Linked DNA regions of Tamandua tetradactyla. The protein of the gene in region 1 purifies or fractionates together with the protein of each later gene. This does not show direct contact. Links are inferred from orthologs where the notes say so. Each region holds a gene or a part of one and is shown in the gene's direction. Other genes may lie near its edges.

Evidence for each region.
Region 2: the proteins of MARK2 (region 1) and FUCA1 purify together in Homo sapiens (affinity purification with mass spectrometry; 3 studies listed by BioGRID and IntAct, counting the BioPlex papers as one, with this or other methods). This does not show direct contact. The link is inferred for Tamandua tetradactyla from reciprocal best matches to the Homo sapiens genes MARK2 and FUCA1.
Region 3: the proteins of MARK2 (region 1) and MTCL1 purify together in Homo sapiens (affinity purification with mass spectrometry; 5 studies listed by BioGRID and IntAct, with this or other methods). This does not show direct contact. The link is inferred for Tamandua tetradactyla from reciprocal best matches to the Homo sapiens genes MARK2 and MTCL1.

What each region holds. Positions count from the first base shown.
Region 1 is NC_135335.1:10,713,330-10,720,153, reverse strand, and holds the start of MARK2 (serine/threonine-protein kinase MARK2), read left to right. Parts: upstream 1-3,813; 5' UTR 3,814-5,409; coding exon 5,410-5,466; intron 5,467-5,485; exon of another isoform or gene 5,486-6,824. UniProt on the Homo sapiens protein: Serine/threonine-protein kinase. Involved in cell polarity and microtubule dynamics regulation. Phosphorylates CRTC2/TORC2, DCX, HDAC7, KIF13B, MAP2, MAP4 and RAB11FIP2. Phosphorylates the microtubule-associated protein MAPT/TAU.
Region 2 is NC_135328.1:202,363,020-202,370,378, forward strand, and holds the start of FUCA1 (tissue alpha-L-fucosidase), read left to right. Parts: upstream 1-4,349; 5' UTR 4,350-4,375; coding exon 4,376-4,776; intron 4,777-6,709; coding exon 6,710-6,844; intron 6,845-7,359. Other genes in the region: CNR2 (cannabinoid receptor 2), read left to right, coding at 1-139. UniProt on the Homo sapiens protein: Alpha-L-fucosidase is responsible for hydrolyzing the alpha-1,6-linked fucose joined to the reducing-end N-acetylglucosamine of the carbohydrate moieties of glycoproteins.
Region 3 is NC_135344.1:72,112,024-72,119,951, forward strand, and holds the start of MTCL1 (microtubule cross-linking factor 1), read left to right. Parts: upstream 1-4,918; 5' UTR 4,919-5,017; coding exon 5,018-6,085; intron 6,086-6,282; exon of another isoform or gene 6,283-7,928. UniProt on the Homo sapiens protein: Microtubule-associated factor involved in the late phase of epithelial polarization and microtubule dynamics regulation.

The sequences.
Region 1 (6,824 bases):
ACAAAGAGGTGCAGATACCAGGAGGAAGCCGGGGCCTGCCCGTGAGGGTAGACGGGAGTGTGTCTGGTTCCTTTGCGAGGACCATCTAGGGGAGGTCAGCCTCTCCTGGGGAGTGTGGGGCAGAGTTAGGACTTTCAGCTCTGAGAAGAAGATGGATAATCACTTTTCATTCTTTCTTGCACTGCCTTTATTACCGTGAATTCCTAATTTTTGTATCTCATTTATCTTTCTCTTATATCTGAAATCCTGTCTGCAGGACATGCAGCTGTTACAGGAAACTGCCCTGAGACAGACACTAGTTCATGGGATACTAAACCCAGTACCAAAAATCCCATCTTCTCAAATAGTGAGCCTGTTATATTGTGTGAAGGACAGCTGGTGATGGGAGCCTGGCTCCACACAAGGCTGCCAAGTCTCCAAGCCAGAGAGACTCAGGAGCGTGAACTACAGCTAAATTTTCACCCCCACTGCCCCACTCCTCCCACCACACACACAGGTTTTCCTCATCATAGCAGAAGAGGCAGAGCTTAGCTTTAGAGAGTACATAACATAAGAATTAGGGTCTCCCACCAGACTGTGTGTGTGTGTTTCTTAATCACTAGTCACATTTCCCATCGTGACTATTGGTTTGCAAAGACTCCATGGTCCTATATCTAGAAGGTCTTGGCAAAATTGCTGACATTTGGATCTCAAGAGCTGTGGTATATCCTCTGGATTTTCCTACGTTGGGATGTAGATGTTTAAAGTGCTTTTTATCAGGGGAGACTATAGTGGCAGGGGCGTTTTATGGAAAAGAGAGAACGATTGAGCTGGCTCTACCCAAGTTCAAGTCTGAGCCTTGAGAGTAGACGACCAGAACTTGGCTTTCAACTGCAGAGCTTTCCTAGATCAGTTTGAAAAGTTCCGTCTCATCTGGAGATGCAGAGCATTTATGGTGAGCACAAGTTCCACCACAAGTTGTTATATGGAATTATAACAATAGTGAGTTCCATTTGCATTTAGAATATACCAGGCACTATTCTATGTGTTTGGATGGTGTTGGATATTTGGCATGTCTGATCTTACACCTTTTGTTTCAAGGCTTGGTAGAGACCACTTCGTGCCTGGAAAGTTCTTTGTCCTTGGTAGTCAACATAGACAGGATAGGATGGATATCAGTGACCTTGTACAGCCCAGCTAAATTCTTTCACTAGAGGTGTCCTAGGTGGGTTTCTTCTCAGTCTTCAGGACTTTATTTAAGCTTCTATGCCTGTTGGTAGTTACAGCTGCCCTTTAGAATTTGTTGGAGGGAGGGAGGGTCCTGTATTCCTTTTGTATTCTGCCCTTTCTGTGCATTTGGAGCTGGAGAGCTATGGATTTGGTTGCTTGCCTCCTTCAAAATAACGATTATTCTCTTGTCTGCAGTCTTTGTAATAGTACATCCAACAGTGCTCAACCCCGCCCCCCTTTCTCCCCAATACCACCTGTTAACTGGTGGTTCTAGTTCCTCAGGGCTTCCACCAGCACATGAGCTAATCTGTATCAAAGAGCCCACCCCCAGACCCCTGTCACAGTGGTTAGAAAGCACAGAGCCTCCAACACTCAGCTGTGAAACGTGAACCCAGGTCTTTGCTGCCTTAGCCATAGCTAAGCTGGCTGTTCTCTGGGCCTTTTCATTCTCTTAGAAATCGTGCAAACAGGCTCTCTTCTAGGACTCTGAAAAGATGAATTAATTATGAAATATACTTTTTAAGAAGGTACTTGTAATGGTAAATGGCTATCATCTGGTTTACTGTACTCTGCTCCTAGGCCAAATACACAAGTAGCTAGGGCACCCTGGAGTGGAACTGTCATTGCTGCCAGCAAGTGAACCACGGTGTTTGGCTTTGGGAGCACCCTAGGCCTAAAGTCACAAGCTGACATATATTTGGTCTCGCTGAGAGGCTTGCACTCTTTAGTATTTTCCGCCACTTTTGACAGAAGAAACCTTTTCCATTTATCTGGCAAGCTAGTCAGGGCACCTGCCCAGGTCATGGCCACTTAGAATCCAGCAGTCTCTGCCCTCAGCCCAGGGTTGCAGCAGCAGGGGTGGCAAGCCCAGCGAGGTAGAATGAGGCCCATTCCTTGCTTTAGTTGCCTCATAGCCTTGTAGGAGAGACAGAGTGTTTGACCTGATGTGCCAGTGTACTGTCTTAGGATCCCGTTTCTCTTCTCTAGCTGCAAGCTTTCCTACCTGGTCTTCTTAACCCATCCATCCCTTCTCCTGTAAGGCAGTACCTTTCAGCATTCCTTTCCTCCAGCCTTATTCCTGGTCTCTGTCTGGGTCAGTATCTCCTTATCCAACCTTATGCTCCAATCACCTCCAAATGCCCGATTCTTTACCACCGTGGTTTTTAAGTCCCTATCATCTCCACCACCACCACCCCCAGCTCTTGTTTCAAGCCCAGTTTCTGCTGCCCATGATGTATAGAGAGCAAAGATAGTTCCTGGATCCCACGTTGGAACTCTGAAGTCCTTTTCCTGTTCTGAACTATGCTTTAGAGCTGAAGTACAGTTAATATTTTACTTTTGATCCAATGGTGGGCCCTCATGGGCTGGTTTTGAGAACACAACCACCGTTTGTGGCATGTCTTTATGGAAAAATAGTTCCTACTTAACACAGGAAGGAACTGTTGGTAAGTTGGGGATTTCTTGACTAATATGCTGCAGCAGATTTGCTTGTGCCCTTGTGGAAGTGTTCTCATTACTTTGCAGACATAGCACCATCTATCACAGAAATAAGTTGTCCTTTTGGATGCTGAATGAGCATTAAATAAAATAAAATAAAATAAAAAAAACACTTCCCTGACACCCCACCCCACTCCCCACACCCCCAGCTGAAGTTTGCCACAAAGCTATGCTGATTCTCTCTGATTGCTCTGCGGGGCAGTTGTGTGATTCTCAATATCAGCTCACTGACCCGTACTTAGGTAGCACCAGAAATGGGGCACTCCACCCCCACCCCCAGCCCACCCCTACGGCTCAGATGTCTGTTCACCTGCTTGGGTTCTTAATGATCTGCTGTATGAGAAAGATAACATCTCAGCCTATGAACAGGAACGGCCCAGCAGGGGGTTTTGCTTTTAGAAACAGCAGCCAGTTGGATTTTTAATGGTCACTTAACTGGAGCAGCTGCATCACAGCATGGCCCTGTGGGGAATAGTTCTGAGGCCAGGGTGGCAGTGACAGCCTTAGGTGATTTTTGTTACTTCTTCTGCTTGAGCTTTGACCTCTAGCCATGGTTACTTCTAAGGCAAGCAGACTTTGCCCCAGTGTTTTTTTCTGACATTTCCTCTTCCTTCAACTCCCCTTTTGAAACTGGAGGAGTAAGAAAGCAGTATGTTTTCCATTTCCAGATAAAGATGAAATGGAAAGAGAAGCAGTGTCTTGTTCAGCACCTTCCAGTGGTAGGGCTGGAACCAGATGGGACCCAGAAGGCCTGTTTCCCGCCCAGCACTGGATCTATTCTGCAGCATAAAGACATTTTAAAGAAATCACATTGCAAAAGGGCAGAGACAAAGAAATAAATCTACATCCAGGTAGAAAGGCTGTTGCATAAATAGCAAGGTAGTTTTTTGTTTGTTTGTTTTATTTGTTTAAAAAAAAAATGATCTCATGCTTCTTTTTTACTTTGTGTTGGCAAAAAACCCAGGAGAAGATGGGAGATTCTGGGAGGAGATGATTATGCTGGGTGAGTCAACTGAGCTCCCCAGCTGCCGTTTTTAGTTCCTTTGCTTTTCTGTAACAGGAGGCTGTTTGGGGAGTGGTGGGGGGTAGGGTGGGGAATGCTGGTTTATGCATCAAGACAGGAGGCAGGTGTGTATGTGTATGGGTGATTTTCTTTTGGTAGGTGGCACCCTGGGGTTGACAGGGCCTTATGATCAGTGTATTGGTTCAAACAGAAGATACCAAAACAGAGCCTATAGTTAGGCTCTGCTGCAAGTCACTGTCACTTCCCCAAATCAATAGTGTTAAAGTTGCATTGCATTGTTGTAGTAAGATACAATGTTTTTTTAGCATATCAGTGGAAAAATTGAACGTAAAGAGGCAGAGAGAAGAATTGTCTTAAGTGGGAGTGGCTGGTAGTTGTCACAGGCAACAGGAAGTTCAGAGGAGAGGTTTCCCCCTCTGAGATGAAAGGAGGGCTTGGGCTTAATGGAGGGTGGCCAGGGAGTCTGCCCTGCTGGTCCTTGGCTAAGCTTTGTGTTCTGAGTTCCTCTGCACTTCACCTTGGTGACCCCTTTACCTGATGCTTTGTGTCAGGAGAGAGCACCTGAGCCTTTTCCCACCTGAGAAAGCTCGCTAGTGGAATTAGATTTCCATCGGTGTCATCCAGGGAATCTTGTGGCCTACTGCTCTGCTGGTTGTCTGCAGAGTGCTATGATTTGGGGGATCACAGAGATTTTCATGAAGATGCCCCACCACATTTTCCTATTTATTCACTCTTACATATATGTTCTCTCAGTACATTTTGAATACGTCTGCTGTGCTAGACATTGTTCTGGGCCATGAATAAGATGGGCCTGTGTCCCTCTTTTGCAGTGTAGGCTGGTGGGAAGGAGAGATGGTATCCAACCAATTTCAAGGGTGATGAATGTCTGGAAAGGGGAAGCAGGTCTCATGGCAAGAGGTTTTGGTCTTGCTTCCTCAGACCTTCTTCTCCTTAGAAAATGAAGGCCACTCTGTCCTGGGGGGCTTTAGGGTTCACAGAGTTGTACCTCTTTTATTCCATATGTAAGTAACATGTGCACTGGTAGGCATTGGGGGCACACAAAGCAAGCAGGCTACCATCTCTGGCCTCTCAGGGCTTGAGAGAGGAAAGACATGGAGACACAGAGTAAAAAAGATAAGCCAGTGTAGATAAAGTGCTTTGAGAGTCCAGAAAAGGGAGCAGTTACTCCCAGTTAAGAAGTGTCTAGATAGTTCTTTGAACACAAGGATTTAGGTAAAACAAGGGATAGAAGATTTACTTACCTGAATTACTTAAAGAAAGCATGTGGTTGATGGAACTCTTCATCCACAATTCCATTCCATTCCCTCCAAGGCAGCCAGAGAGGTAGAGCTGGGACTTGACCCCAGGATGACACCCTTCACTACCATACCATATGCAGCTTCCCGGAAGTGTGCTGGAGGGAGCCAGCAGTGTAAGCTGGGTGTAGAAGCCCAGAGTCCTGAGAATGTGCTAAAACATAAGCTGTTAGGCAAAAAAAAAAAAGGGGGTTAGAGGGAAGCCCAGGCACCTCAACTCCACTTCCCACAATCTTCTGTAAAGGGAGCCAAACCTTTGTGCTGCAGGCTGACTTCTCCCTACCCCCTCCACCCCCATTCCCCAGGGCCTTGGGCTGCTGGCAGGCTGGCTCTCCTGTGATATGGAGGAACTTGCTGGTCTCCATGGTTACAGTAACCCACTGGTACAAGAGGAGCCGAATGGAGTGCAACGCTAGCAGTGTGAGCTTCCCCCAGTCCTTGGCACCACGTGGTACTGGTATATCGGCTGTTTCTTTGACCTTTCCTGGGAGGAAAGAGTTAAGGAGCTGGTCAGAAAGGGAAGGGTCCAGTCAGGGCCTGGAAGGACCACCTTCATCCTCCTCTGGGTAGCTGCAGAAGACAGAGGCATGGCTCCCTTTCCATTCACCCACTCTTCCCAGCAAGAATGCTTTTATGTTAGGAAAGAGGGTCATCTTTGCCTGACAGCCCAGCCAGAGCATAAGGGTGCCTTTCCCTTATTTTAGAAGGCGTATCAGGATGGCAAGAACCTAGGTACTTGTAGTCAAATGCTTAGAGGTTATAGCTCTTTCAGGGCCCAGAGAACCCCTTGAGATGGGAAACATTAACAAGTCCTTGCTGTGTATGCCAAGCACTGACATAGATTCTCTCATTTAGTCCTCACATAAATCCTGTGAAATGGGTACAGTTACTAGCTTTTAATGTCCTTGTGTTCCAAAAAGGAAACAGACTAGAGAAGTAATCTTGCTTGTGAAATAGCTAGCAAAGATGGGGCTTAAAGCCAGGTCCACCTGACTCCAGAGCTCTGCTCTCTAGTCTCCCTTAACAAAGTGAGCTAGAGCTGCTATAATAAGTCTCTCTATACAGCTTCCCTCTAAGTTTCTAGAATGCAGAAATCAGTCTCACTGAACTTTACATCTGGCCCTGGCTCCAGAAATAGGTGCTCAAAAAAGGTTTGATGAAATGGCGGCAGTAGTTGGGATTTGAGACAGAGCTCAGAGCCCAGTGAGCAGATCCTCAGAGATGAAGTGGTGGTGGAGGCTGCTGGAGCCATGGTTGCCCTGGTCACAGAGGAGCCAGGCATTTCAAGTGGCTCTAAAAAGGAAGGTTTTTGTGTGGTACGCATTGCTCTGTGGCTTCCATGCTTGAAGAGGAGTGAGCTGGAGTAGGCGGTTTGTTCTGATCTCACTCCAGGTCAGTTCTTGCCTACTCATCTTCCCCCAGGGAGATTCTGGCTTCTGCTGCGGTTGCTTTGAGGCTTGCAGGCTCCCCTCATGACCTGGGCTTCAGGGCTGGACTCCCTGCTTTGGGATGAGGGTTGCAGCTCAGAGAACATGCCAGTGGGGGCCAGTTGACAGCAGAAGGGAAGCCAAGCACCTTACTTTTGACTCTGTGGTTAAGTAGCAGGCTCTACTGGTCTCCTTTATCAAGGATCCACCTTCTCTGGCTGGAAAAGGGAGCATCCCTTTGGCGGCTTTGTACAGCCCCAGCCTTCCCTGCAACAAGAGCATAAAGGAATGTGAACATCCCCAGGAGGGGCCATTACAGTTCATTTTTGGGGTGGGGGTACATCTGGCCTC
Region 2 (7,359 bases), on another chromosome or scaffold:
CTGCCTGGCCCGCTGGAAAAAGCACCTGCCAGGCCTTGGGCATGAGGGGAAAGAAGAGGCCCCGAAGTCTTCGATCTCCGAGACAGAGGCTGATGTGAAAATCACTCAATGGCCAGAATCCATAAGTCTCTACATCTGATGAGGCCTCTTTGCCATTTTCAGGCAATCAGAGTCAGACCTGATTTCACTCCCTGGAGGAGACAGCCATCTTGACCCTCTCATCTTACTCGAAGCAGGTCTGGGGCCCGGACACTTACCCCTTTTGGCTGATGGGTGTTGGGACTGACCTCTGGAGGATAACTTGGTAGTCCCTATCTGCACTTGGTCTCTTGGGTGGCCAGGCCCTGTAAGGGGTGGTAAAGTTGGCGGCACGAGAGGGCCTGGGACAGCTCAATCCATGTCAGGTCAGGAAAACCTTCCCCACTCAGATGGCTTAGTGCCTTCATCCTCCAGAGACCACAGGAGCAAAAGGGAGCCTTTGGACTTGTCAGTGAGAGACCCAGAGGAAACCTGGGGAAAGAATGGATTGTCCTCCTGGAAACTTCAGGTATCAGATGAGATGGCCTAGCCAGTCCCTTGTTCCTGCTTAATTATGAGGCCTTCTTGAATTGGGGCCTCTGAAAGCAGATGCCTTGGGACCAACCTTCCAGTCTCCCTGATCATTAAGGACTGTTGATCCACCTCCTTCATAAGAAACCGTCAAGCCTCCTTCCCAAGGCACCTTGCTATTATTAGGGCAAGGGTCCCCCCTGACACCTTGCTAATCCCCACTTATAGCCACTGGTCCCTGGGGAACATAGGGGAGGCTGGGACCACTTGGGACACAGTGTCTTTAGAGATTGTAATTGGCCCTGTGGAGTCCTGCTTGGTGGTCACTGGAGCAGGCAGTGACACCTTCTCACCTTCACAAAGAATTTAAAAGCCCCAGGATTGTTCCCAGTCTCCTCTGAATTCAACCTTCTTTGCCTCCTTCATGGACTGTGTAATATGCGGAACAAGTAGGAGGAGAGGAATATTCCCTTACTATATACCAGGCATTGGGCTGACATCCCACGGTCCATTATCCCATCCCAGATGCAGCAAGAATACAGCCTCATGCTTTGGATGTATCTATACTTCACATATGAGGGAGGCTGAGTTCCTACTAGAGGGGCTTAACTGTTACTGATGAAAAATTGCAGAGGAATTCCAATGCAATTGTTTGGGACCACAGATTGAATGGAAGGAAAGATATTCAGTAAACGTGTGCTCATTTAATACTTACAAGATGAGGTCCACTATTCATTCACACAGCCATCTATTTTAAAAATATGTGCCAGGCTCTGTCCTAGCTTGTGCATGTCCAGCCATGAATGAGATTTGCCCCTGTCTCTAGGAGCTAATATTCTACATTCTAGTGGGGGAGAGAAATAGTAAGGAGGTTGTGCAGGTTTGAAAGTATTATGTACCTAGAAAATCCATGTTTTAATCCTGATTCAATCTTGTAGCAGGCAGCCATTTCTTGTAATACTGATTCAATATTGTAGGGTGGAAATTTTTATTAGATAATTTCCTTGGAGATGTGGTATGCCCAACTGTGGGTGTGGCCTTTTGATTAGATGGAGATGTGACTCCACCCATGCCAGATGGGGTCTTGATTAGTTTACTGAAGTCCTTTAAAAGAGGAAACATTTTGGAGAGAGCAGAACTGACACAGATGCCGACACTTAAAGAACAGAGATACACATGTTTGGAGATGCTTGGAGCCCAGAAGATGTCACTATGAGATGTTAAGCAAGTTAGAATATAAAGAGAGCTAAGGGAAGTCAAGAGATGAAAGTCAGCCCCAGAGAAGCAAAGTGAGGAACCCCTACAGGAACAGAGGGTGAAAGCAACGGAGCCCAGGAGCACAGAGCCAGCAGATGCCAGCCACATGACTTCCCAGCTGACAGAGCTTTTCCAGACCCAGTAAGCTTCCTTGAATTAATATGTTTCCCTGGATGCCTTAGTGTGGACATCTTTATAGGCTTAGAACTGTAAACTTACAATTTATTAAATTCCCTTTATAAAAGTTATTCCATTTCTGGTATATTGCATTCTGGCAGCTTACGAACTAAAACAGAGGCAAACCTAAATGAAGAAGATAATTATAGATGGTACAATGAAGGAGATCAACCAGGTCACATGATAGGGATTACTTGGGGCATGCAACTTTAGGTAGGCTAGACCTACTATGTACTCTGGTCACTCTTGGCTTTAATTGAGCCTTTACCATATGCCAGGCACCAGGCTGATGCTTTTACTTGCTTCATCTTACTTGGTTCTCACAATAATCTCATGAAGAGGGTCTTGGTATCTTCATTTTATGGATGAAGAAATATCAAAAAGTAAACTCACTTGCTCAAGGTTACTCATAGGTACCAAAGCTGGAGTTTCCAACCCAGATCTGTTTGACTTTGAAGCCATCTGTTTGACTTATCCATTCACCTGTTGGCCTAGTTCAGTTAAATTCTGTTTGAATATTGCTCCTGAGGAATAATATCAGTTTTCTGTAACTTCAAGTCACTGCCAACTGACTCATCATTGTTTCTCAATGTGCTTCACTTTATGCCCCCAGAAACAAAGGCTGCCCCTCTATTAAACCTATATCAAGGACTGTGTTAACCGACAGTCTCTATTTTGGCTTTCCTCATGAGAAGATGAGCTCTGTGTTCTCCTCTGGATCCCCAGTGCTTTCACAGCAAGGAGCGGTTCTTAAGATTCCTTAAGGACCTGCCAATGTTTGTAGAAATGAACTTTTTCTGAAAAGCTGACCATGAACTACATTTTGGAAAATCAAATTTTATTTTAACCTATCTTTTTGTAGAGCAAAGAAATGCCACAATTTTTTAAAGGTCAATTTGCCTGTTCATACAGTGTTGATATTGCATCTTCATATATTTCTTCTGTCATTTTAGCAAAGAAAATGTCCAAGTGCCTGGCACAAATTGGTACTCAGTAAATATTTGTTGAGTGAATAAATTTAGATTTTAAAAATCATGTAATTAAGTGCTGTCTCTTTCATGCTTTCTACCTTCCTCTTCTGCCATGCTCTATTTCTGCTTTAAGTAGAGAAGCAGAGTTTATGGAGGGGAGGAGAGCAAGCAGGGGGAGGGGAAGGGCCCAGGGTATCATCAAGAACTGCCCTCACTGCTTGGATGGAAAACAGGCTCAGACAATGAATGAAACTTGCCCACGGAGACCCAGTGACATGGTGTCCAGGACAAGAAATCCAAGTTTCCTAACTTCTAGTTCTGAGTGCTCTACTGCAATATTTCAACAATCTTACAGAGGAAAAATCACTGGTTCAAAATACAGAAGATAAAGAAAGCAACAGTTTATTCAGCAACAGCCATTGCGTTTCCTTATCATTCCCAGAATGAGGAAGCATGTGGTTCTATCAACAGGGAGTCTAATCCCACCCGGAACCCTGGGTGCAGGACAGAAGCAGAGTGGAGACAGGCATAGAATCTGCAGCCCGAGAACTGGGTCCTGGTCCCACGCCTGACCCGACTATGATTTTCTGGCGCTGGTTCTCTGAAAAATATTCCTCCATGGAGACCTAAGCATAGGTTTTGTCTTTTCCCACGCCTGACCCGACTATGATTTTCTGGCGCTGGTTCTCTGAAAAATATTCCTCCATGGAGACCTAAGCATAGGTTTTGTCTTTTCAATTCGACGCTAAGGTCTTTGAAGTCACTTACCCAAAGGGAGTTTAAGAGATTAGAAATAGTCACACCTGCCCTTCCTCTTTTTTTTTTTTTTAACATGGGCAGGCACTGGGAATCGAACCCGGGTCCTCGGGCATGGCAGGTAAGTATTCTTACCTGCTGAGCCACCATGGCCTGCCCTGCCCTTTCTCTTTCAATGGCTACTTTTCTCCCGCGTCTCCACTCATAGGCCTTCCTTCCATTATCCTGCGCCTCTTCATTCCTGCCAGGGCTGTTACAATGCCCTTCCATCCAGTATCCGCGGTTTCATCCTTAGCCTGTGCACACTACAGCTCCAAAGTTCTCTATGGCTCCCAACTGCCCACCTGTGATCTGACTTCAGCCGTTCTCAGTTGTCTGTACACACCCGGACCTCCCCTTCTCCACGATCTAACTTTGCAGTGGATTCCTTTATAAATCCTCATTCCTCCGTCAGCCCGGCGCTCCCAACGCCTCCTTTTGCCTTTCCCCTTGGAGCGCCAGGGGGCGCTACAGAGCCGACCGAGGCGGAGGGGAAGAGACTAGCGAAGCCGTGAGAGTTGACCCGCCTTCCTTTCGAGCCAATCATTGGCTAGTGGGCGGAGACCGCGCGCCCCACACCTACGCGTTAAGGGGAGGGCGGAAGGCGCAGCCCTGCGGACCCGGAGATGAGGACGCGGGCGGGGCACGCCGCGCTGCTGCTGCTGCAGGCGCTGTTGGTGCCGCCGGTCCCGGGGGACGCCGAGGCCGAGCTCCGGGCTCCGCGCCGGCGCGGGACTCAGCGACGCTACACCCCGGACTGGCCGAGTCTGGACTCCCGGCCGCTGCCGGGCTGGTTCGACGAGGCCAAGTTTGGGGTGTTTGTTCACTGGGGCGTGTTCTCGGTGCCGGCCTGGGGTAGCGAGTGGTTCTGGTGGCACTGGAAGGGCGAGGGGTGGCCCCAGTACCAGCAGTTCATGAGCGACAACTACCCGGCCGGCTTCAGCTACGCCGACTTCGGGCCGCAGTTCACGGCGGGCTTCTTCCACGCTGAGGAGTGGGCTGACCTTTTCCAGGCCGCGGGCGCCAAGTGAGTGTGGACGCGCGGGTGGGCGGAGCGCCCCTGCCCCGGCTGGAGCCGCCCGGGCGCCAGGAGGGGGGGCCGGAGGCGAGGTCACGCAGCTGGCTCGCAGCTGTCCCCAAGCTCCTGTGTTTGCCTCCTGAAGGACGCAGGATTGATTGTGGCACAGCGTGTTGGGAAGCTAGAAGTTTCGACTGGTTGGGGATTAGAAAATAAAGGTTTCGGGAAGCAGGTGAGCTGGAAAGCCCTCAGTCGCTACGCAGTCCTCTGACGTGGGTGGCACCTGATGTCCTTTCCGGGCCCACCAGACAGGATTCCAGGATTTTGAACCCGTGGCGTGGATTCAGGTCCCAGCTCAACTGTGAACTCAGCTTTAACACGTCGCTTCACATCCCCCCTGCAGCCCCCTTCGTTGTCATAGTTCGTTCAGTTCTAATATCTCTAAGATGAAAAGGGAGGCAAGGGAGTTGTGGGGTGCAGTGTATTCGGGGCACAGTAGATTTTCGTTCGTCTGCTGTTCCCAGTGCCTTGCCCATAGAAAGTGCCCAAGAAATGTTTGAATTGTTTTGAGAACTGTTGGAGCCTGCGGGTGGTGGTTTCAAAGAACTGAAAGGCCAGCTACAGCCGTGGGGTGGAGGGGGGCAAAGACCTCCGTTGTTGAAAGAACAGGTTGTTGAAGGCAAGGCAGGGTAGTCCAGGAGAAGTAAGCCTTGCGGCAGTGGACACCAAGGAGTGCTTACTCAGCTGCTTGAAGGGTTGGTTTGGCTTCAGGGAGGCAAGTGGGTTGGAGAAGTGCTTGGAGGGAGGCAGACGGGTTTCCCCACTTCCTGGTTTAGAACACAGAGCAGTCTTCCATCCACACTTTATTCCTCAGTCATCTTTGGGATTCTAGTTTTGGTGTGACTTACACTAACGAGAAATTATAACCAGCATTTCGTGTTTCCATAAAATGTATGGGAATATAAGACTTGAATAACTAGAGGCAGTGTTCTCTAGCTTCAAGGGATCTTTAAGAGCTGTAATTTACAAAATGAAAAAATAAAGTCTGGGGGACATGCACTGTCTAGACCCCTTATTTTATGAATGAGGTGACTGTCCCAGAGAGAGGAAGGGACCTGAGATCCTAAACTTCAGGTCCAGTGACTCCAAGATGAGGGTTCTTTCCCTTACACTGGAAGCCTGCAAACAATGCCAGAGGGCCCAGGAATTAAGAATGGTTTTTACATTTTTAAAGGGATGTAAAAAACAAAGAATATGCCACAGAGGTGACTGCAGCCCAGAAAGCCTAAAATACTATCTGGCTTTTTGTAGGAAAACTCTACAGCACAAAGATGACAAGTCCCAAAATGAAGTGTCTTAAATTTGTGATAATGGATTCAGCCTTTTGTATAAAAGCTGTTTCTCAGACAGGCCACATCAGTCGCATGATAGTTTCTGTAGTTCCCCACACCAGTCAGTGAGTAAGTTATCACATGGAGACATACCTGTTTTTCTGCCATAAAAGCAAATAAATGATTTTGGTTGTGATTTCAACATGTGCTGTTTCTCCCTAGCACTTGTGATCCTTTGTCATCTCTGTAAATGAGAGGCAATTCATATAATCTTGGTTAAAAAAAAAAAACTTAATTTTCTATTATCTTCACGCAAAGGGTTAAAATAAAAGGCTAATAATATTGAAGGGTTAAAGAATGAAAGTGCTTAGGTACATTTTTTTCCCTCTAGGCCTTCTAGGCTGCAAATGAAGGGCAGTGGCTAACTCTAATTTGCCTCCATTGCTGGAACGAACACCCCCCCTCCTCCAGGGGAGTTGTGACTGCGGCATCCCCCAGTGTGTATTTCCTGTAGTTCTTCCAACCACTTTTAAAGCCTCCGGAACCCTGGGCAAATTCATACACACAGTCCCCTGCCTGCTTTTTTGCTCATATGATTCTGATGTCCACAGGTATGTAGTCCTGACTGCAAAGCATCACGAAGGCTTCACAAACTGGCCAAGTGGTGTGTCTTGGAACTGGAACTCTCAGGACGTGGGACCCCATCGTGATTTGGTTGGTGAGTTGGGAACAGCGCTCCGGAAGAGGTGTGTATCTATCTTCGCTCTTGATCTAGCAATGCAGTGCTCCATTCCTTCTCTACTCTCATGTGTTTTCTAAATTTCCAGTGTAGGAAGTAATTGAGGTAACCTGAAGAGCTTCTGGCCTTCACATTAGCAGTGTCGGTAAACCTGCAACTTCTCTAATAAAAAGTCAGTAAATAAATAAATTTATAGTCTTTTTTTTTTAATGACTTCGCATGGATCACTTAAGTGTTGACAAATAAAGTGGAGCTAATGTATAGTTTCTGAAGCATCTAACTAAAAGACATTGATGGTAATCTCATTTATTGTGTCATTTTGTCAAACCAAGAGTAGTCAGGGGGTCTAGAAATTCTTCTACTCCCAACAAATAGAATACCAGCTGAAAACTTGTAAACCTATTATTCACATGAGTGTGGGACATCTCTGTCCCTTCAGACCACATAATGGGTTCATCGAAAGATAAGTGATGACTAGGAAGAGTAATGATAAAGAAACAGATGGTGCAGAGGTCTGAGCGA
Region 3 (7,928 bases), on another chromosome or scaffold:
CACTGAACACCATGTTCTAGATAAAAAAATTCTATTAGGGGCGGGCCGCGGTGGCTCAGCGGGCAAAGTGCTTGCCTGCTATGCCGGAGGACCTCGGTTCGATTCCCGGCCCCAGCCCATGTAACAAAAACGGAGAAACAGAATACAATAAAACAAGAAAATGTTTAAAGATGTTTCCCTTCCTTCTATCCTTCCTTCCTTCTCTCTGTCTTTCCTTTAAAAAAAAAAAAAAAAAAAAAATTCTATTAGGTTGATACAAAAGATAAGATCCTAGCTTCACTGGAAGACAAAAGAAATTCATGGAGCTAAAAGTCTTTCTATTTAGCATTTCCCTTTGACCTGGACAACTATTAAACAAGTTTAGCTGCTCAGAGATTTATAGCCCTTAAATATGCCAACTTTTTTTTTCTCCAGTGTTTAGGCCATCATTCTCAAGGAGCAATACCTGCTAATGCACAAAAATTGTGTTTTCACATATTCAGATATGCCTGTCACTCAAAGGTAATTAATAGTGTGCCTTTCTTTCAAGTGTGTTCTGGCCTACATGATAAATTTTATGATCACCCTAATTATTGGAGAGATTTCCCACAGATGGGGCCTGTTAAATGAGAGGACTGGCAAATGCTTTTTGTACCTCATCCTACACTCGAATTCTGTGAGCAGTATTTAAGGAGCCAATGACGAAAGTTACTTATTCTAAGCCCCTAACATCAAGAACCACTTAAAAACATGGTTAACTCTTAGTATTCTGTCCCAACAGGTAATCAAGAATACATTTTAGTAATATTTGTTATTTATTCCATCATGTTAAACTTAATTATGATTTTCTTCTGTTAAAATTAGTTTACACTCTTTGACTACATATTGTCTGAGAATGAACAGAAGTGGCCTACCATTTACTATGGATAATCCCATGTTGATAATTAAAATAGCACGTACAAGTTCTCCTTAACTCCCAGATTCATAAAGCTGGAAAGTTTATTAAAGCTCATTTAAGTTCAACTCCCTAATTTTATAGGCAAGGTCTCTAACACCCAGGAAGACTGGAGCTATTCTATTCAAGGTAACTGAACAAAACGTTGTGTTCAGGCCTGGAGTTCACATTGTTATATGTCTTCATTGGTAAAATTTGCCTGGCAGTAATTACTGCACAGTAATAATAACTAAAATGTGTTTTTATGATGATTTTATATAGTGTCCTATCTCCTTAATTGAATAGGTTGCTTACTTCGTATGTATTATCTGCTACGGAACCTTCTATGCACCCATTGTTTTATTTTTGTTTTCCACGTAAACTTGCCCTTATTTTGTATATTTTGTATGTAAAGAGGAGCATTAAAGCTGGGCAGGAAAGACAGCGTCAGCAAGAAGTGTTTATTTCATTTTCTACTTCAAGTCACCATGTTTGCTTTGAAGGGTAGTAACTTTGTAGGGAGAGAAATAAGCAATGCTGAATTATAATAAAAGCACACACAAGACTTGCCGTACAGTTCAGAATTGACATGTTGAAATGCGCAGTGTTCTAAATTATGGGGTGACAGCATACCATCAATTTCCCTTCATTTTTGAAAAAAAAAAAAAGAAACTGGGAACGGAGAGGTAAAATGTGTCAATTACGTAGAGTGAGGTTTGAAAAAGGATAAATATAAACTAACTTTGATTCATTTTACTTATTTAGCTTATTTAACAACTTAAATTTCCCTATGCAACAAGCTTGGAATTAATTATTTAAAATAATTAAAAAATTTTTAGCAGCTACATTGTGAGAGGAAAGAGCTCTGGACTTTTAATTTCAAATTTAGCAAACATGCCATAAGCCTTTCTAAAGGAATACTCTCCCTTTAATGGAATCCAGCTCATTAAATCACCTGGAAGCTATTTTACATGACACAGGACCTTCACCCCACTTCCAGCTTCTGTGGAGGGTGGGGTGCTATTCTAACACTAACCACCAGGTGGCATCTTCCAAGACATCTCAGTTTAAGGGATTGACTGTTCCTCCCACAAAGAGCAGGGTAGGAGAAAGGGAAGGACTGTGTCTGGGCAAACAGATCAAACCAACACAGTCACACTTGGATTTTGTTTTACAGAATAAAGCACTTCGAGGCTCCTCTAAATAGTGAACTCCCTAATGTCTATAGAAGCATTTGATTTACAAAAAAAAAAAAGATTTTTACAATCACATGCAACTTTTAAAAAACATCTATTACGCAAGCAGATATTGCTTTATACTTGCATCTCACTGAATATTGGAAAACGATGAAAGCCTTCTTGAACATCTTCTGGCTAAGAGTTAGTAGAAACAATTGCCAGGTTAACAATAAGGAATATGAATTTGTTTGACTTATGTGGGGGCAAAGTAAGCTTGCTGCAAATCGTATGGTCACATAAGCTAATGTTTTTCGCTTTCTCTGGACTCTTTGATGAAGTAGTCCTGAGGCGGTCTTTTGCAGGATTCTATATGGTATGAAGCGGCAAGAAAGCTTTGCAAAGGTATTGGAAGTAACTCTCAGAAATGTGAGAGTGTTAGGAACTTCTGGGTCTCTGGAGGAAGCTGTGGGCAAAGGTCCTGGTCACCGGGCTCACGTTAGTTGCACCCTGGGATGTGACCGTTGCCAGCTGCTGGTTGACTGGCAGTCACAAGAAGGCGTCAGAAGGGCCCTTAGGACTGAGGGGGCTGATGGCCTGGATGACCACGGGGCAAGGGTGGCACAAGCCTCTCAAACTAACATGCCTCATTGCCAGAAATTTCTGCAGCTACTCTCATCCGTGCCAACAAGACAAAGTCCATCGTTTTCCCCCTTTCTCCTAATATTTATTGAGATATAACTGCGGTCTTCTTAGATAGTGCATCAAAGCTGATTTGGTAGAGATTCTTTTTTGTGTGTGCTGCCCGCATTCAGAGGAGCACCCAGACCAACAACTGGCAAAATCTGAAACAGCCAGTGAGGGTTCCATCCCCCTCAGACCTGGGCAGAGGGGGCATGGCCAGGGCTTCTCCTCCAGGGAATCTGAGCAGAAAGCAGGCAGGATGTTTTCTGAGGGCACCGTCCTGACTAGCAGGATTTTTAAAAAATCAGTTGACACTGTATTTTTTGAAAAAGGTGGGTACAGCAGGTTAATTTGTGATTATGATCACAAACTGTGGAGTCTGTTCTCTTTTTAAATTCATAAACCTGTCCCCCTTTCTCCATACTTCCCCCCACTGCCTGGATAGAGCTATTCATCAGCCCTCACCTGCCCTATCCTCACAGCCACCAGCCTCCCTGCTGCCCAGCTGCCAGCGTGGTCTTTCCAAGCAAACCATGAATCCCCTCCTACTCAGAACCCTCCAAAGGCTCCCTCAGCCTCTAGGGTAACATCCAAATTCTGCAGCAGATATTTGGCCCCGCCCAGGCTGCTGGCATGTCCTTGTCCCTCACCCATGAGGCTCGCCATCCTTCCAGGTGCGTCTCAAACATCGGCTTCAGAAGAAGCCTCCCACCATCTCCCCGGCTGGGTTAAATGTCCATCCCAACACCTGTAATTCCTGTCTGCTCCTACGCCTCCCTCCCCGCCAGCACTAGGGGACAGACTTGGGTCCTAGTTCTTTCACTGTTTTCCAACTTCCAACCCCTGCAACAGACACTGACTTCAGTAACGCTTGCAAAGCCCTTTACAGTTTAAAAAGTGTTTTCTCCTATTTTGCTCATTTAATCCTCACAAACACCTGGGCGGGGGGAGGCGTGGGGGGAGGCAGGGCGTGTCTTCCGATTATACAGGCTTCTGAGTGAACCGAGGCTCGAGAAGGTCGAGTGACCAGGACAGGTGCTCAAATCTCGGTGGCCTGGGTCCCCGAGCCCAGAGAGCACGGGGTGGAGAATCTCACCGACCGGGGTTCGAATCCCGACTCGGCCACCGACTGGCTGAGGGACCCCAGCAGGCGTCGTCACTCTCCCTCACCTTCGTCCTCCCCCGCGAGGAGGGTCATCCAATTTGGGGTCGTTATGAGGACTCATTAAAACAAGGCCTGGGGACCGTCGGGCCGCGCTGGGGCGTGGCCGGGAGCGCCCTTTCTGACCCCGGGCTTGGCGAGCCGTTCCTGCACAGCCTCCTTCCCTGGGCTCCCCGGGCCACTGGGCGTGCCAAGAGTGGAGCGCCGCGCCCGTTTGGACCCGAAAGCGGTTTGGAGTACCAGCTGTCCTTAGAGGAGCGTGGGGACGGCGGGGGCGGGGAGTGGGGGGGCCCTGAAGGATGGGGCTCGGATGGGGGGGCCGTGAGGGCTGGAGGTGGTGGTCAGCGGAGGCCAGGCGGGCGCGCCACCCCGCCCTTCCCCGCCCACACACATCATAGAGGGGCTCCGCGACGCCGCCACCGCCGGCTGCCCCCCCATCCCCCAGCTTCGGGCACTGTGTCTCCCGCCTCAGAAATCGGGGCGGATCCCAGCGTTGGGAGGGGGCCGGGGGGACACGCCCTCGCCCCGGAGCCAGGCCCCGCCCTCCCCGGCCTGGCCGCGCCGGGTGCTCTGGCAGCGCGAGGCGAGCGCGGGCGCCGGGACGGCTGGCGGGGGCCGGGACATGCGCACAGGGCGTCGGGCGCAGGGGCGCGCGCTCGCAGTCCTCTCGGGGGGGAGCCGGGGGAGGGCGCGGGCTGGGGCGGCGGGCGCTGCGGGGGAGCGAGGCCCGGCCCGGCAGTGGGCGGGGAGCGGGCGCTGCGGGGATGAATGGGGGCCTGTGAGGCCGAGGCCAGCGCGGCTGCCCGGGGAGGCGCGCGGCCGGGCGCCGGCGAGGCGAGGGCGCTGGAGCTTCGCTGACCGGAGCCGGCTAGGGGCGGCCCGCGAGCGCAAGAGCAAGGGGCGAGCGGGCGGCGCAGGCGTGCGCGAGCCCCGCGGGGACCCTTCGGGCCGGGGTGCGGGCGGGGAGGGCGGGGGAGGCGGAGGGATGAGAGAGCACTCGGGGAAGCTGCCGGTCGCCGCCACTGTCGCCGCCGCCAGGAGCATCTGCCGCGGGAGCTGCAGCCCGCCGCCCGTGCCCCGGCCATGGAGACGCTGAACGGCCCCGCGGGCGGCGGCGCCGCGGACGCGAAGCCACCGCCGCCCGGCCAGCACCACCGCCACCACCACCTGCACCCGCTGGCCGAGAGGAGACGGCTGCACCGCGCGCCTTCGCCCGCCAGACCCTTCCTCAGGGACCTGCACGCGCGGCCCGCGGCGCCGGGCTCGGCCCCGGCCGCCCCCTCCCCGGGCCGGGCCCCGGCCCCCGGCCCCCCGCGCTCGCCCAATCTCGCGGCCAAGGCGCCGTCCTCGCCCGGACCCCTGCTGGCCGCTCCCGGCCGTCTTTCTCGGCGCGGCGGCGGCGTCCCGGGTACGAAGGACAAGCCGCCGGCGGGTGCCGGGACCAAGGTGGCGGGCGGCGCCAGGGCCGCCCCGGGTCCCAGGAAGGCGACGCGCGCCGAGCTGCTGGCCCGGGCGGGAAAGCCGCCACCGCCGCCTGGAGCCGAACCGCCGCCCGCCGCCGCCGCCAAGGGCCGCCAAGCCAAGCGCGGTCCCGGGGCGCCCCCCGCCCGCGTCGCCGGCCCCCTGGGCCCCGTCGCTTCCCCTGCGGCCCGCGCCGCTGGCTCCCCGGCTCCCGGCTCGCGCCTCAGCCACACGGACAGCAGCTCCGACCTCTCCGACTGCCCCTCTGAAGCCCTGTCGGACGAGCAGCGCCTACTCCCCGCCGCCAGCAGCGACGCCGAGTCCGGCACCGGCTCCAGCGACCGCGAACCCGCGCGAGGAGCCCCCGCGTCGATCCCGGCAGCCCGGGGGGCGCCGTCCAGCAGCCCGGAGCCCCCCGCGCGCCTCGCCGCGCCCCCTGCACCCAGCACCGCCTCCGGGGGCGCCAGCAGTCCTGGCGGGGTCTCGGCCGGGTCTCCGGTGCCCGGTGCGGCGGACGATGGTGGGGGTCGCGCGGTGTCAGAACGAGCGGACCCCGGGAGGGGCCACGGAGGCGGCGGGACCCCCAAGGATCCCCGCCCGGGCGAGCCGCCTCGGCAGTTGCGGGCAGCGGACGAGGAGGAGCTGCTGCGGGAGATAGAGGAGCTGCGCTCGGAGAACGATTATCTCAAGGTGAGCGGCGCGTCCCGCGGCACGTGGCCCCGAGGTGCGCGCCCCGCTTCCCGCGTCCCGCGAGGGGCCGGCTGCGGCAAGGACCCGCGAGCACCGCCTTCTGGGGGCGCATGAGCGCCTTTCCCTCTCGCCCTCTTCCTCCCCTCCTTCTCCCGCGCGCGCCGGGAGTGGGGAACTTCACCCGCAACTCTGAAAGGCGGTCGTCAAGCCATTTGGCTTTTCTTGAGCCTCCAGCTCTCGCTTCTGGGCGCTGACTCCTTTGCCCCTCTCGTCGCTTGGGAGAAGGGCCGACTGTAATAACATTTTGGATGCAGCACTTTACGTCCGGTGACTCCATGCGTGCCACCCTCGCCTGTGGGAGGGGTGGGATCACCCCTTAGCGAAGGCCGTGTAGCCCCGGAAATGCGCGTTCATTTGGATGGCCTGGAAGGGGCGGGCGCCTCCCCTGCAAGCAGAGATAGAGCCAGGGACCCTAGGAGTCTCCATCTGGGACCCTTGACAGCGCAGGCAGAGAGGGCCAGTTTTCGGTGATACCGCTCAAGTGCGGAAGCCTCTTGACTTGGCCTCTTGCTGAGGGACAGCAGGGTTTTGCTGGCAGGTCCTTTGTTAAGTGTCCGCGGACCAGGTTTTCTTGTGTCAGAAGAGGCTGAGTCCCTCCACAAGCACACTTTCGAGGGATTCTCTGAAATCTCTGTTTCCCTGCAGGGCCTGCTGGTGATGGCTTCTTGGTCCTTTTAGCATGAGGGCGACTCCATCTTTTCTCGGGGAAGCAGGGCGGGGGCAGCAGCACAGAGGGTTCAAATCTTCTCGGCAAACAAGACCATTGGGAGTCTGGAGAAAAAATAAGGGGATTGTATTGAGTACAACTCTATTTTAATTTATTGCAATCCTCAGGTTAGTAAATAACTCTGGTGGTATGCGTTTATTCATGTGCCTATTAAGATTTTAATGAATGTCTTCCCAATCCAACGGAGTTCTGCTTCCCCATCCCTTGGTTATGCTTTTTGAGCTGTGTTTTCAGCAGATGATGAATCTGCCGGGCTCAGGCCCAACTTTGGGCTGGTGGAGCCAAGGGGGTGGTGGTGTTTGGGGTGAGTGGTGGCTGAGCCTGCAGTTCAAACTGAACCAGGCACATGGGTTGTCCTAACTCTTGATCTTAGCAGGAACTGCACCAGTCACCTGAGCCCAGTAGTTCTTTTATTTCTTGAAAAGAGGTAACAGGGAGACAGAGCGGTGAGAATGAAGAGCAGGTTGGGACTTGGAGAGAGGTTTCAAATAGATACATTTGCTTTTTGGCCAGCACGTTTCATGTCCTCCACAAATGAGTACTCCCTGAGGGCTAGGAAGATAAACTTGTTCATTTTTGCAACCCCAGGTCCCAGGATAAACCTGGACCCATGGTGTTTCTGATTGAATGATAGTTCTCCAAATCATGACTGCTGGACAACAGAAAATTGAGTTTCTTTAAAGAAAAAAAAAAGCCTCTCTTTACATCTTGGATCTTGGAATAGTTGGGCTGATACCATTTCAGCGTGCAGTCCTGGTTGACTGGTTATTTGCTTGGTCTTGTCACATTATTCGATTCCTCTGTGTTTGATATTTCGGTTGAGTCCAGAACACCAGAGGATAGTCTATTGTTGTAATATGTTTTATGGCCCCAATTTCGCAGACATGGATGCCGAGACTCCAGAAGGGTTAAATGATTTATCCAAGGTTGTACAGCTGGTATAGTTTAGCAGCTTTTATTTTCCTGCCTCCAGAGCCTTTGCTCTTTTCACTGCATCAGGCTGCACCCTGACTTCCAGCAAGGCTGCTTTTCTCAGGCTTTGCTGCTTCAGGATTG